Linked DNA regions of Elephas maximus indicus. The protein of the gene in region 2 purifies or fractionates together with the protein of the main gene of each other region. This does not show direct contact. Links are inferred from orthologs where the notes say so. Each region holds a gene or a part of one and is shown on either strand. Other genes may lie near its edges.

Region 1 (7,986 bases), on a different chromosome or scaffold from region 2:
AACCAGCCATTCAAGTGTAGTCCACTGATCTCTCCCATCCCCAAACACAGCTCCTGGGTAGTGAGAAACACAGGGCACCTCAGGGTTCACCCACTGGGCCCCGCTTACCATGCGCAGATCGGGGCGGTACTTATTCTTGCGAATCATGTGGCGGATGCTGCTCAGAGTGGCCCGGGCGTTCTTGTTAATGGTGGTCCGCACGTAAGAGGTGGCTGGCTTCCGCTGGCCTGGGAGGAAGGGTCACCCATTGGTCAGTGGGACTGTGAAGCCTTGGGTGTCCCTCCCAGGTGTAAGGAGGCCACCTGACTCCCCTCCCCTCCCCCAGCCTCCTCAGGCAGGACCAGCAGCCACTCTACCACTCGAGTGGTGATCACCTTGGGGCAGGGCAGCCCTGGGCACTTCTCATCCATCTCATCCTCACGGTAACCCTAGCACAGCAGCTATCTCCACTTTCCTTGAAAGGATGAAATGGCCAACATGGAGGTGACAATACTCTTATTCATGGTCACATGCGTAAAGCATGGTTGCAAATTTTGGAATCTAAGCCACCTGACCCCAAAACTCCATGCTACAGGTGAAGCAGGTGCACTGTGCCGGCCAGGTCGTGAGCGCACCAGAGCATTAGTAGAGAGAGAGACAAGCAAGGGTGCACTAACCATAAGCTGGGACACAAAAGTCTTTGTAAGTTCTCTCTTCTTTGGGGTATGTTTAACTCTAGTGGGAATGCTATTTCAACTTACAAATTGTATGTTAAATATACTTCAATTTCTTTAAAAAAAAAAAAAAGGCAAGACTGCAGCTCTGGCCTTCTGTCCCCTCCTCCCCAGGGCCTGGAGTAACAAGAGAGGGTACTGAACACAGGGTGTGAGGAAGAGCCCTGGCCCTCATCTGTGCTAACAGCAATCACAAAGAAACAACCTCCCACGCCCCTGCACACCCACCTGTGGAAATACCTCCCTCCCTTTCTTGTGCCATGGCCACCAGACTCCCAGTCAAGACCTGAAACCAGGCAGCCCCAATGGGGGCTGCAGTTAGAACCCTGTGCTCCTGGTGACAGATGTCTCTGCAGAGCTCTCCTCCAGAGGACATGCCCCACCCGCCATCCCGAGGCTTTGATAGACTTGATGGAGTTCCTTAAACCCAACCCCTAAAGTTGTTAGGTGCCTTTGAGTCAATTCAACTTATACCAACCCCGTGCAAAAGAGCAGAACCGCCCTATAAGGTTTTCTAGGTTGTAATCTTTACAGGAGCAAATGACCAGGTCTTTCTGCTGTGCAGTGGCTGGTGGGTTCGGACCTCCAACCTTCTGGTTAGCAGCCAACTGCTTAACCACTGTACCACCAGGCCCCAAAGTAGGGACTGCTATACTCCTCACGCCAATCCAGTCCCTTAAAACACAAGGAAAGCCACCCTTTTCTTTAGGAACCCAAGAGAGGAAAACAAGGTTTTCAGGACCCAGCACGTCAGAACTCAGAAGTGGAAGAACCTGTGGCAGCTAGGACCAAGGAATGTTCCTGAACAAGACCTGAACGGAAACCAGCCCCATGCAAGCATCTGGGAAAGCCAACTCATTCCTACATTCTCAAGCACAAGGGTGTAACGGGACACCCCATGACTCAACTGTTAGCCCAGGAGATTCCTGCCTCCCAGACCTTTCCCCAGCCCACACACGCTCAGAGACCCTAAACAAGGCCCCACCTGTGCCTAAGTCAGTTTATAAAGGAGGTGCCCAGGACCCTTCTCTGAATCCACACACAGGCAGGCTGGTGGTCAAACTAAACCGCTTGGTTCCAAACCAGCCTGTAATTGCTACATGTGGCAACTCCAGTCTCATCTGTGAGGTGGACACATCCACCTCCATCTCAGATTTGAGAATTTAACCTGAAAATATCTCATCATCATGTACTTTAATTCTCACAGCCACCCACTGAAGTTCACGTTCCAACAGCTTCTCCACTTTACAGATGAGAACCAGGCTAAGTGACCTGTTGTGGCAGATGGAAGCTGGCCTCCCAAGCCAATATCCTAACCCAGGTATTCTCAAACTCTGGTAGAATTACTCCTGTTGCCTGAGTCCCTGGGGCAAAAGGGGGCCTGATGTCCATGTCAACCCAGGGCCAATGCTCACCCGATCTCCGCTTCAGGACCACCACGACCCCTTTGCCATCTGCTGCCGGCTCCACGCCCACAGTCTTGCGGTGAATCAGCCCGTTGTAGCGGAAGGAGTTGCGGGCTTTCAGGTTATTGGGCTCCTGGGGATGGGGCATCAGGATGGTGAAGAGGAAACTAGAGATGCGTGGGGGTCCTTCCTCAGGTCCAAAACCAGGGTCCAGGCCCCCTTCTTCCGGAATCCGGGCCCCCAGAACCCATCACTCTCAGACCCGGGAGTCCTGGGCCCAAGCCTACTGCTCCCTCAAACCGCGAGTCCCGGCCCGAACCCTTTCTCCCTCAGACCCAGCGCTCTGGGCCCCACTTACAGTGCTATACGTCTGCTTGTTCCTCTTGATCAGGAAACTGGAGCAGTTCCGCACAACCATCCATTGCAGATGTGCTGACATGGCGCCAGCTGCGAAGAAATGGGACACGTGAACGATCTCAAGCGGAAAAGTAGGCCGACGTCGTATGATTGGGAACTTGGGTGAATGGGGAACCCCTGAATGCAGACAGCAATCCAGAACTGTCATGCGCGGCTGAACTCAGGCAGCCGAGACTAACTGCGGGGCATGGTGGGGGGGGGGAGAAAGTAAGACCACAGTGATTTCCGGCGGAGGGGCTGGGAGGCAGTCGAGGACCCTCCGGCCTCGGAGGCGCGATGGGAGAAGCCGGGCGGGGGAAGGGGGCAGAGACTACAGACGGCGGGCACCAGACGGCGACCACGCCGGGCGCAAGGAACGAAGCACTCTAACCTCCTCTCTTCGCGGCTGCCGGAGACGGAAAGAGGCAGGCAGGGGGCGGGGCGACTCCTTTAATACCACACACGCATTTCCGCTTCCGCTCTGTTCAAGCCTGTGAAACCGCCTGTCCCCGCCTCCTCCTTCTCTCTGGCACCGCCTCCAAGGTCGCTCGGTAATCTTCGGCTATTTCCGCCAAAAAGACGCGCACTGCTCGAAAATCCTTGTAACTCTTTGGATAGGAAACGGAAGGCGAGTTCCCCAGACGTAGAAAGTCTCTGTCCCGAAGATCATTCGGGAGTTTTCGGAACCTCTCGGCTGGATTTTCGAGTGGTCCATTTAGAAAGCTTCGAGTTCCCCGAGTCCCATTCCACAGGCGGCTCCTTCCAGTGCGCTTGGCACTATGCTTGGCATATGATGGGCGCCCAATAAATAAATATTCGTTTTATGAATGAATGTTTGAATGAGTTAAACCAAAAAACCCAACCCGCTGCCGTGAAGTCGATTCCGACTCATAGCGAATGAGTTAACTATTAAGTCTCGCTCAAGCGTCTTCGGACACTTCTGGTCTTCTTTCGTAAGCCCTCGGCTGTTCCCGACGAAGGCACCCAGGCTCGTTCGGCATTTTCGGAACTCTCCGGAAACGCTCTCCGTCGTGGCCTCCGCTTTCCCTTATTCGCCCATGCCGGCTTCGGGTTTGCTCGGTCCCCATTCGGCCACGCTCGGAAACCTTCGGCTAATCCCAGCAACTTCCTCTTAGTTCTCCCTCCCCAGGTTCCTCCTAAACTGCTGAGTCTGGGGAGAACCTAGGCGGAACCTCCTTGCAGGCTGCCATCCCAGGGGAGCATAGATTTCCCTAAAGGGCGAGTTGTTTGGAGGAGAAGAAATTTACACGTGAAAGCTTCTGTTCAATTTAGGGGTTCAATACGCGCCCTGCGCTCCTATCCCCATTCGCCCTTCCAGTCCCCATCACCCCTTCCAGGCTGCCCTATGTTGTGTGCCGTCGAGTCGATTACGACTCATGGTGACCCCATGTAATAGAGTAGAACTGCCCCACAGGGTTTCTTCATGGGAGTCGATCACCAGGTCCTTCTTCTGCGGAGCCCCTTGGTGCGTTCGAACCCCTGACTTTTCGTTTAGCAGCTGACCGCTTAACCATTGCGCCACCAGTGTGCCTTCCGATATGTTTCATCCTCCATTCAACTTCCTGGAAGTTTATTTTCTTTTGCCAGAGTCATCCTTAAGGGCCAGGGACGGCGCCTGTTGTAGTTCCGTGTCCTCAGTAGCTGGCACTGGGGATGCCTCAAGGGACTCTTACCAAAACAGCAAGGACAATGCCTTATACCACCTCCGTTTGCGCACGTGGAATGGTGATGACGTCTGGGAACTCCAGGGCCTCCTTGTTGGATCCATCTCTGTGCACTTGGGCTTCACCCACAAGGAGTCCTGGACAGTTCAGGGGCCTCAGGAGAAAGCTTCTGAGCAAACCTGAGTGCCCTGTGCCACCTCCGCTGGAGCTCTGAATCTGATGATCAGTGAGACCCACCAATCTCTGTGCCTGTGGTTTCATTCATTATGAGGCAGGCACGCAGTGACAGAAACAGAAAGAAATTCTCGGCTCCTGCAGAGTCCGCATTTCCTTTGATTCTAGCACTCTGACTTCATTCCCTGCATCCCAGAGTTCCTTGGGGTACAGGTAGGTGTCTTGTCTGTTTTTTGTTTTGTTTTGTTTTGTTTGCCTTCCCCTATCCCCACTATAGAACCCTGGTGGCACAGTGTTTAGGAGCTCAGCTTCTAACCAAAACGTGGGCAGTTCAAATTCACCAGCCGCTCCTCGGAAACCCTATGCGGCAGTTCTACTCTGTCCTATAGGATCACTGTGAGTCAGAATCGACTCGATGACAAAAGCGCTTAGTTGTTTTTTTTGTTTTGTTTTTAATTTATCCCCCCCTCCCAATTTTTTTTTATAGGTTTTTTTTTTTTTTTTTTTTTTTTATATAGGTGCCTGGGTGATGCAAACGGTTCTAATCCACTCAGCTGTGCTGCGGAAAAGGCCTGGCGACCTGCTTCCCGTATAAATTACAGCCAGAAACCCTACGGAGCACAGTTCTAGTCTGACACACATAGGGTCCCCATGAGTCAGAATGGACCCCACAGCAACAGGTTTGGTTTTTGGTATCCCTACCACCAGGCTTGGCGCATAGGAGGCCTCAGGAAGCTGCACTGCACAGTAACAGCGCCCTGGTTTCCCGCAGTGCCCTATGCTGCCTCCTTTAGGGCCCCCTGGATTTTGACTACGTGTTGCTTCGGGGTGCAGGGGCCCTGGGCCACCCATATCTGCGCGCCCGGCTGCTCCAGCACAGAAACGACCTCCAGAGAGCCTCCGAGCCCGGCCCGTGGGCGCTCAGGTGACCAGGCGGGTGCCCTGCATACCTGGCGCAGTCCACTGACCCCGCCCCGGGACAGGCCGCACCCGGAACCCTCTCGCGGAGCCAGCGGCGGCGGCGCAGGGCCATGGCGGCGACGGCGGCGTGCACCCCGCCGGGGCCGGCGCCCGGAGCCCCATCCCCGCCGGCGGCCGCACCCGCGCCCGCGTCAGGCCTGGGCCGCTGCCGGATGGCGTTGCTGCTGGCGGTGGCTCTGGACGTGGCGGGCATGGCGGCGCTGCTGACCGGCGTGTTCGCGCAGCTTCAAGTGCGCGGCCGCGACTTCGGCGACCTGCTCATCTACTCGGGCGCACTGCTCGTCTTCCTGAGCCTGCTCGGCTGGATCCTCTGGTACACCGGCAACATCGAGATTTCACGCCAGGAGCTCGAGCGCGACTACGGCCTGCGGCCCTCGGCGCTCGCCCGCCTCGCGCGCAAGATCTCCCGCCGCTGGTCTGCGCCGGCCTCCTCGGCCGCCGCGCGCGCCGCGACCGGGATCCGAGGAGCGCGCCGCGCGGCCCGCGCGCCCCTGCCGCCCGCCGCCGGCTCCCGCCGCGTGCGCCTGCAGCTTGCCACGCTCGAGGCCGGACACGGAGCGGCGGGCACCGGCCCCGAGTGAGCCAGGTAAGGGGCACGGAGGAGAGACGGGGTGAGGGGCGAGGGAAGAGATGAAGAGACGGCAGGAGGAGATGAAGAGACTGTGGGAAGGGATGGGGAGACACTGAGGGAGAGATGAGACTTTTGGGGGAGATGGAAGAGAGCTGAGATGGAGAGACAGTGGGGACAGAGGGACGGCGAGGAGAGACAGAGGAAATATTGGGAAGAGACATTAGGGAGAGATGGGGAGACAGCTGGGAGAGTTGGAGGGGCAGCTGGAGAAATGGAGAAGAGAGACAGCAGGGGGAGAGAGAAAAGCCCAGATGGAGGCTCAGAGAGAGAGAATGACACAGGAGGAAGTGAATACTCCCAAGGAGAGAAGCAGAGACTCAGAAGGATACAGATGCAGGGAGAGTCTAAGGCTGGGTGGGTGGGGGGGCGGGGTGCAGACTTGGGAGACTCAGAGGAGACACTGCCCCCCCGCCCAGATGAGGCAGGGAGATTCCAGGTTAGCTCCCCACAACGCTTGGAAGTCCCTCCACTGCAGCCAGCTGCCAGGCACACCAACCTCCATTTAACACTCTCAGGGTAACTGGGTCTATGGGGCCCTTGCTATTAGTCCATCCCGACTCCACGGTGGAAGAAACTGAGCCCCAGAAAGGTACCACCTTTTGCCTAAGGCCGTGCTGCTTGTAAGTGGAGGAGCTGGGATCCTACTGACTAGCGGTCCAACTAGAGCTGGAAAGGAGTGATAACAACAGAGACATTCAAGGAAAGCCCAATGCTCAAGCTCCTCCCTTCCTCCTTGTTGTCCTGTCTTTCCTCAGCCTTCTATCCCCTTTCCTAAACGTACACTTTCCAGCTTGCCTTCCTCTGCTCAAAGCCCTGCTGTAGCTCCCTATTGCCCTCTGGTGAAATCCAAGCCCCAAGTGGGTCCCCTGCAATACAGCCTCTCTGCAGTTATTGCATCTCTCAACCCACACACCTCGAGCCTCTTTCACACCAGTTAGCCTCTGTCCATGCTCTTCTCTGCACCAGGCATGCCCTTTCTGTCTCTATTCCACCCAGAAAGCTTCCCACATGTTCTTTAAGATCCAACTCAGCTTCTCTTCTCTGAGCCTCCATAACTTGTCTGTTATTGTTAGGTGCCATCAAGTGGGTTCCGACTCATAGCAACCCTGTGTACAACAGAACGTAACACTGCCCGGTCCTGCGCCATCCTCACAATCGTTGTTATGCTTGAGCCCATTGTTGCAATCACTGTGTCAATCCATTTCATTGAGGGTCTTCCTCTACTTTACCAAGTGTGATGTCCTTCTCTAGGGACTGGATCCTCCTGATAGCATGTCCAGAGTACATGAGATGTAGTCTTGCCATCCTTGCTTCTAAGGAACATTCTGGCTGTGCTTCTTCCAAGACAGATTTTGGCAGTCCATGGTATAGTCAATATTCTTCACCAACAGCACAGTTCAAAGGCATCAATTCTTCAGTTTTCCTTATTCATCGTCCAGCTTTCACATGTGTATCAGGCTATTGAAAACAAGGTGGTTTGGGTCAGGCGCACCTTAGTCTTCAAGATGACATCTTTGCTTTTCAACACTTTAAAGAGGTCTTTTGCAGCAGATTTACCCAATGCAACGCGTCTTTTGATTTTTTTTTTAATTTTTATTGTGCTTTAAGTGAAAGTTTACAAATCAAGTCAGCCTCCCATACAAAAATTTATATACACCTTGCTCTGTACTCCTAGTTGCTCTCCCCCCAATGAGACAGCACACTCCTTCTCTCCACTCTTTATTTTTGTGTCCATTCAGCCAGCTTCTGACCCCCTCTGCCCTCTCATATCCCCTCCAGACAGGAGCTGCCCACATAGTCTCATGTGTCTACTTAATCCAAGAAGCTCACTCCTCACCAGTATCATTTTCTATCCCATAGTCCAGTCCAATCCCTGTCTGAACAGTTGGCTTTGGGAATGGTTCCTGTCTTGGGCTAACAGAAGGTCTGGGGACCATGACCTCTGGGGTCCTTCTAGTCTTAGTCAGACCATTGTTGTTGTTGTTAGGTGCCTTGGAGTT
Region 2 (7,146 bases):
GTGGGCCCTCTTTGTATTCCCAATGCCTAGCAGAGGGAGCTGCACACAGCATGTACTCAATAAATGGTTGCTGAATTGATCACGTCTTACACGTGTCCTCCAATAAGCACAGAGGCAGCAGGAGCGTTCAGGTCTAACTTTAGGCCTTACCCCATTGTTATGTAGAAAATAAACACATCCTCCATTTATCAATTATCTTGCTTAAACAGTTCAAAACATATAAATGATCACAATTATTGCAAGCTTTAAAGAGGGCAACAGTGGGAGCCAAGGAAGATCTTGGCAAGAGATCTCTGAGAATCATAGCACCAAGTATGCCTTTCCCAGAAAGAAGAGGCACCAGGTCAGAGAAACCCTAGTCAGTAACTTAACTGATTCTACTAATAAACCTAGAAAGCCTATGTTCAATCAGAAGGCAGAGCTAGGAGTGAAAAGTAGGTAATTGAAGCACAAAAATAAAATAAATTATAACAGTTTACATTACTGTATGATTACTGGTGCCTAGAACTATGCCAAAAGCTTTACTTGCATTTTCTCATTTAATCCTTACCATTACGTGAAGTTGTACAATTATCATGCTTTTTTAGAGGAGAAACCTACAGCTGGGTAGTTGATAATTCACCTGACACCACAAAGCTAACAAGGCACCAAGACAGGACCTGAATCCAGAACAATGACTCCAGCATCCAGAGCTGGTAATATTAAACATTTAAGTTAAATAAGTAACCAGATCTCTGGAGTTTCCCATCTAGAGATCCCCATGTAGCTAATACCACGAAGTAAGACACACCATGACTTCCTACAAGAAGAAAGCATTTCCTTTGGTTCCTTCCTAGTGATCCTCAGCATTTTCTCATCCTTGTGCCACAGTGGCCAATGGAGTCTTTGTCTTCAGAAAGCAGACTCCAAGGCCACCTGGACCCCATTTCTTGCTTCTAACTGGTAACTCACAGGTCATGTAGTTGTAAATACAGATGACATTCTTCCCCCTGAATACATCATCTTATATTTGCTCACACTAAAAGTTTAGAAGATGTTCCTGTAATTATACAAAGAGATGCACTCCAAGCACTATATGTAAATTAAAATGGAAGTCTAAAAAATGTTTTAGTAACCCACAGAAAGATAGGAAAAATAAAACAGAAAACAAGGAACAGGAAACAAAAAACAAAATGGAAGACTTAAGCTCTAACATATCAACAATTACACTAAATAAAAAAGCCCAAATTCACCAATTAAACAGAAATTGACAGTGGATTAAAAAAAAAAAAAAAGACCCAACTATATGCTGTCTACAACAAACTAACATACAATGTGGATGTAGCTTACTCTTAAAGATAGGAAGATAATAATGGTTTGAGATAAAGTTCTAAAAGATAGTGAATAGATTATTAATGATGCCCAAAAGAGGCTAACAGGCTGACTCATTAGGGGGAGAGCAAGTGGGAGTAAGGAGTAAGATGTATATGAACTTATATGTGACAGACTGACTTGATTTGTAAACGTTCACTTGAAGCTCAATAAAAGTTAATAAAAAAAAAAAAAAAAAGAAGCTAACAATTTAGAGGAAGTCAGCTTTGCTATTCCTAATTATACCAGGAACTATTTGGGGTGGGGGTGCGGGGGGGTGAAGAAATGCAAAATGCAAATATCCCAGAGTTACCCGGTAATTTTTCTCTAAGTTTGTCTTTTCATTATAGTTAAGTCTTAATGTGAACATAAAAGACAAATAGTATAATTTGGTTTCTAGAAAGATAGGAGTCACATGTTAATTTTCTAAAGACTTGACACATTTCTAGAAGAGCATCTAATTGCATAAAGCAAGTACCTGGGTACTGTACTTGTGTTAAAAAACCATATCTCTTTTCTTCATGCCTGTTCTCAAGCAGTTGAATGCTGCTGGAGGAAAACCACACAACTGGGTCAAGTGGTTTAACTTTAAACTCATGATCACAAACCTCAAATCGGTACCCAATGCCAAGGCAGTCCTGCTAGGTTTACACAGTAAACTTGCTTTCCCTCTCCCCTGCACTGGCAAGCCTCTTCACTTTTGTCACCTTATTATCATGGTAAAAGCATCCTTGTTCCTATCCAAGGTCAATCCTCTTCAGGTGCTATGAACCCTGTTTGCTCATATCTTTCATGGATTTCACTCCTACTGTCAAATCTTCTCTTTTCTGCATCACCCATCACCATCACCCTCTCCACAGCACACAATCACACTCTAGAACTCTACTATCTATTAAAGCATTCTCTCCCTTGGCCCATGTCCTTCTACAGTTATCCCCAAATTTCTCTGTTCCCTTTGACAAAAAAACTTGTCTTAAGTTGCTTATATGTGCTGTCTCTATTTCTTCACTTTCCCATTCACTTTTCAACCCACTTTAGTCAGGTCCACCTTCCAATTTACCAAAGCTAATCTAGCCAAGGCCATCAATATCCTCCAGTGACCTCCAAAGTGACCAATTCATTAGCCATATCTCTGGCCCAAGTTTACCAGACCTCTCAGTAACACTAAACACAACTGACCATTCCTCTCCTTCCTGAAACCCTCTCTGCCTTTGGATTCCACAACTCAACACTATCATGGATTTCCTTCTACCTTCCTGGTTGATCACTCTGTGTCCTCCATTAACCTATCTCTAAATACTGGAGTGCCCGAGATGATCTTGAAGTCAGAGACCAGAAATTGACAGCTCAGATGTGTGCTTTAATATCATGTAGTTTAAAAACATCTACTTTAGTTGTTTGCCATCGATCTGATTACAATTCATAGCACCCTACAGGACAGGGCAGAACTGCCCCAAAGGGTTTTCTAGGTGAAGTCTTTACTGGAGAGGCCAGGTCTTTTCTGCTGCAGAGCAGCTGGCAGTTCCGGTAGCAGCCCAGAGCTTAACCAATGCACCACCATGACCATCTGAAAACCTGGAGAATTATATTTAAAAAACCATATGCCTGGGTCTCTTGAAAGAAACCAGAGGACTTGTCAATACTGGGCCGGCATTATCATAACGGAACAATCGACTGAGTGGAGCAAATGCTGCCCCCTTGACGCTGAGTCCATTTGTTATCCGTGATATCTAGGTAAGGGGGTTGACAATACAGTCCTGAGTCAGATTCTCAGAAGCACTAAAGGGATCTTCTCACGAAGACACCGGAACACCTTCCAGGCAGTCCTCAGTCAACATTTTCGCTGGCCGCTTAAGGTCCACAAGTGCAAGCTGGGGAAAGGGGAGGCGGCCACACTATTCAGTGCTGAAGGACTCCGCCCACAGACAACTTAGAAGCTCATAGGCAAAGACAGAAATCCACGTTTTAAAATACAAAATTACACTGCACCGAATACACAAAATATCCTTTCAGCAAAAGACGGACCGCTCTGGTCTTGTAAAATCCTCAAGTCTGGTCTTAAGCTGGCCTCTCTGGGCTGAGGTGGGCTGTGGGTCACCGAGTGGAGGTCTTCACCCTCCTCTCTCGCACCTGGTTTCAGGAGGCCCTCCTCTAGGGCGGAAAAAGTAAACCAAATGTCGCTGGGCAAGGACAGCCCTCCTTCGCCGTTTTCAGGTGCTGGATCCAGGCTGGGGAGATGGGAGCGCGCTGGGACAAGCTGAGCCTTTCTCCGTGGCAGCCCACGACACGGCGTTCGGAGGCCGGGTTCGGCCCGGCTAGGCGGGGACTGGGGCGGGGCTGGGCCCAGGAGCCGCCTCAGCCTCACGGTTCGGCCTCGCGCGCGCTTCCTACAGCTTTCCCTTCCCCGCCCCCGCAAATCTCCCGGGGTTCCGGGTGCTGGAGGCTGCAGCCAGGAAACCAGGTCAAGAGCGCCGGGGACCCGGGACAGCCCAAAAGTTGCGGCCTGGGCCCCAAAAAGCCCCGCCCAGCAGGACCCGGATGGCACGACGCCCACAGGGCCCACGCGTGACGGGCGAGGGCGCGGGAGGGCGCGTGCGGCGTGACGCGACTCCGGGCGCGTCCCGTGACGCCATCGCGCCGGGTTTTGAAAGTTGGCGCCCGGGGCCGCCTCCCATGCTGCCCCGCGCCAACCCCTCCCCTCACCTTTCCTCCCCCGCCTTCCCCTCGCCGCCCGGCCGGCCCCCCCACCCGTCCCTTCCCTTATCAGCACCCGCGGCCCCGGCAGCGCCGACGCAGGCGCACTTCACCGCGCCGCCGCCATTTTGTGTCCGAGCCTGTGGAGCGATTAAACCGTGCGCGGAGCTGCTTCTTTGGCGGCAGCGACGGTGGCGGTGGCCGGTGCAGACGCGCGGAGCTGGCCGGGGACGCCGGGTGGCCGGAGCGGGGGAGCGGCGGCGGAGCGGGCGCCGCGGGGGGTGTGGCGCGGAGGTAAGGGGGCCCGGGGTGGAGGAGGTTTCGCGGGCCGCCTCTAGGTGTCACGATGGGGCCGCTCCGGTCGGCGCTGGCTGCAGCCCGGCGCCAGCGCCGCCGCCGGGGGGTGTTTGTCTCCCTCTACCGTCCCTGCTGCGGCGCGGCCGCCGCCATTGCCCGTCGCCGCGGCCCGGCCTGCCCCCCCTCGCCCGCCCGCTGGGCCTCCCTCCTGGCGGCGCGATAGGCCTCGGGCGGTGGCGGCGACCGAGGCCCGCGCGCCCGGCGACTCCATTTTCCTTCCTTTGTCTCTGCCCTCGAGGCCGGCTCTTGGCCCGGCCGATTGCCCGGCCGCGGCCCGCCCTGTGTCCTCCGCCCCTCCCGCGACGGGTGGCCCCAACCGAGAAGCGACCTCTTCGCCCTGGCTTCCGCAACCGCCTCGCCCAAGGGTCCGGACCGCTACCACCATGCGCGCAGTCGGATCTCCGTCCAGTATGGGTGTCAGACCCTGGCCGACGCGTTCCGGGTTGCCCATCCTTCCGCCCGCCGGGTCCCCGGAGCCTACCGGGCCGCCTGTGTGCGTCCCCCGCCGCTTGGCTGCTGGGCGGTCGCTCCCAGTCTGCACGCCGTCGCCGCTTGTCTCCGTCTCCGCCGAGTGGCGCAGGCGGCGCTGCTGCGGCTGCGAGCAGAGGGGCCCCAGCGCTGCCGAGAGCTCCCTCTGCAAGGCTGGCTGAGCTGCTCGCGCCTCAACGCCGCCTGAGCGGGCGGGGGGACGCGCGCTCGCCGCCCCCGCTGGGCCCCGCTGAGCCCCCAAACTCGCGCCGGGGCTCCTCGCGCGACTCAGCGGGTGCGGCCCCATGGTGGCTGGAAAAGACGCGCGCGAGTTCCGCACCAAATAGCTCCTTAGAGTGATAGCAGCCTGACTTTGTGCGCTAAGAGATCTCAAAGGGATTGGAACTTAATTTCACTCTGATCTCAAGTGACAGTGACAAATTCCTGAATTCGCGAGTACGGGCTAAGTTCAAGCAACCCCTAAGTTTGGCTCCCGCTTTAAAATGTCTTGATGTTAATTTACTGTACACCACTTAGTACCTGATGCTCTAGGGCTGGGCGAAAGCAGTTCTGTCCTGGGATTGTGCAACTCGATCTAAAGCGCCAGTAGAGCAGAATGAATTTATTCTTGACTGGACTGGTAATTTGCCCATACGCTGAAATATGAGGGTTGATGTTGTAATTGAATCCTGGGTCACTCGGTGCAGATGGTTTATAAATATCTATGCCTGTTAGTAGTTAACTTCTTGTAGGTCTGAGATCGGCATTAAGTAAACATACACATATATGTGTTTTCATGCTTGCTTTGAGTTTAGATCAATTAGGAAAGCTAAAATTCCGCGTCCCTGTGGGCGGAAAAAGAAATTCAACAGGGCATGTATTTAAACTTACTTTGTTTTTAAGTCTTGCATCTTTCAAAACTTCCTGTTGAACAACCTATGTTTTCTCTTTTTGCGTTTTTTTTTTATTTTAGTAACTTACTATAGTGCTGTGCAGCAGCTGATGTATTAACTTGGGTGACTTTGGAGAGAAGAAAGTCTAGATTAACTTTTTTTTATTAGGAAGAAAAACTGTTAAGCTTATGAGGAAATTAAAACAGGCCGGTGCTAAACAAATTCATTGGGTCCACTGTATGTAATCTTAATCTGTAGGTTTTGCAGCAGTCTGCCTCTGTAGAAGAGTATTTCAGCATCTCTTTTTACAACCATAGAAAATGGTCCTGCCTCTCAATAAAATCAACGCTAAGTAACTACGTGCCAGTAATTTTGGTGGAGTGTTGGACTCGGGAATAGAACCACCTCTAATTGTCTAATGTCTTAATCCATTTGTACAATTTTTTGTGTTTTATGGTTCTCGGTTTTATTTTTCTTTTGAAACTGTGAGGGCCTATGGCTTATTTTATTAAAATGAGCTCTGCATATGGGTAAAAAAAAATTAAAATCCACAAAGTCTTTAGTTGACCCAGGAGTAAAGCATTCCTAGATTAGCGTTCTGCTCCACCGCGCAGACCACACTTGGCTCCTCTCTTCGGTTGTCCCGTGTGCAGTCATCGTCTTCCTGATCTTACACATTTATACTGTCTTAATGGTGTAAATGGTATAAACCATGCACCTTGTCCACACAGTTGTCATCCTTTGAGATTCTTGATGCTCTGTTTTTATTGGAAAACTAAATCTACAGAGAGAATAAATTGAGAATATGAGGTAACCCAAAGGAATTTACTATTTAAATCAGTAGTATGAGGAAGGTTACAACAGGAATGTCTGCCTATGTAAAAAAATATTGCTTACTTAAGAGCAGTTGTAAAAGTTACCCATAGGAATCCATTTAACCTACATAAGAAAACTTAGGACCTGTAAAAGTTACCCTTAAGGGCCATCCAAATTCTAAGAATTGAGTGTTCAGTTTTTGTTTTAAAGGACATACAAAAATGAGGGTATCCACCTGGGACTTCTCTCATGGTTTGGGGAGTTCCTTGGGTGTGGCAGAGGCCACCTGTGGCTGACTGGGGCCCTAGGGAGGAGTGCTGTGGCAGAGCTTTGGACAGAAATGCCTGCTGGCAGAAAGTCACCACAAGAGCAAGGTTTCTTTCTTCAGGAATGCTGCTGGCATTGAAGCCAATCTACATCAAGTTCGTTACTTAATAGCTGCATCTCATTTTTTAAAAATCAGAAATGTAACTTGGCCATTTTTCTACCTTATTTATTTTGGGTTCAAGTGACTTCAGACTGTTTTGCCAAAAATTAAATCTCTTTTCAAACAACTAAGATTTGTCAC

The links. Proteins that work in one complex are often made in the same cells at the same time.
Region 1: the proteins of CTCF (region 2) and RPL28 purify together in Homo sapiens (affinity purification with mass spectrometry; 3 studies listed by BioGRID and IntAct, with this or other methods). This does not show direct contact. The link is inferred for Elephas maximus indicus from reciprocal best matches to the Homo sapiens genes CTCF and RPL28.

The regions. Positions count from the first base shown.
Region 1 is NC_064829.1:91,615,191-91,623,176, forward strand, and holds the start of RPL28 (60S ribosomal protein L28), read right to left. Parts: upstream 3,009-7,986; 5' UTR 2,907-3,008; intron 2,567-2,906; 5' UTR 2,559-2,566; coding exon 2,478-2,558; intron 2,253-2,477; coding exon 2,129-2,252; intron 228-2,128; coding exon 109-227; intron 1-108. Other genes in the region: TMEM238 (transmembrane protein 238), read left to right, coding at 5,406-5,936.
Region 2 is NC_064839.1:34,059,638-34,066,783, forward strand, and holds the start of CTCF (transcriptional repressor CTCF), read left to right. Parts: upstream 1-4,130; 5' UTR 4,131-4,338; intron 4,339-5,425; exon of another isoform or gene 5,426-5,509; intron 5,510-7,146.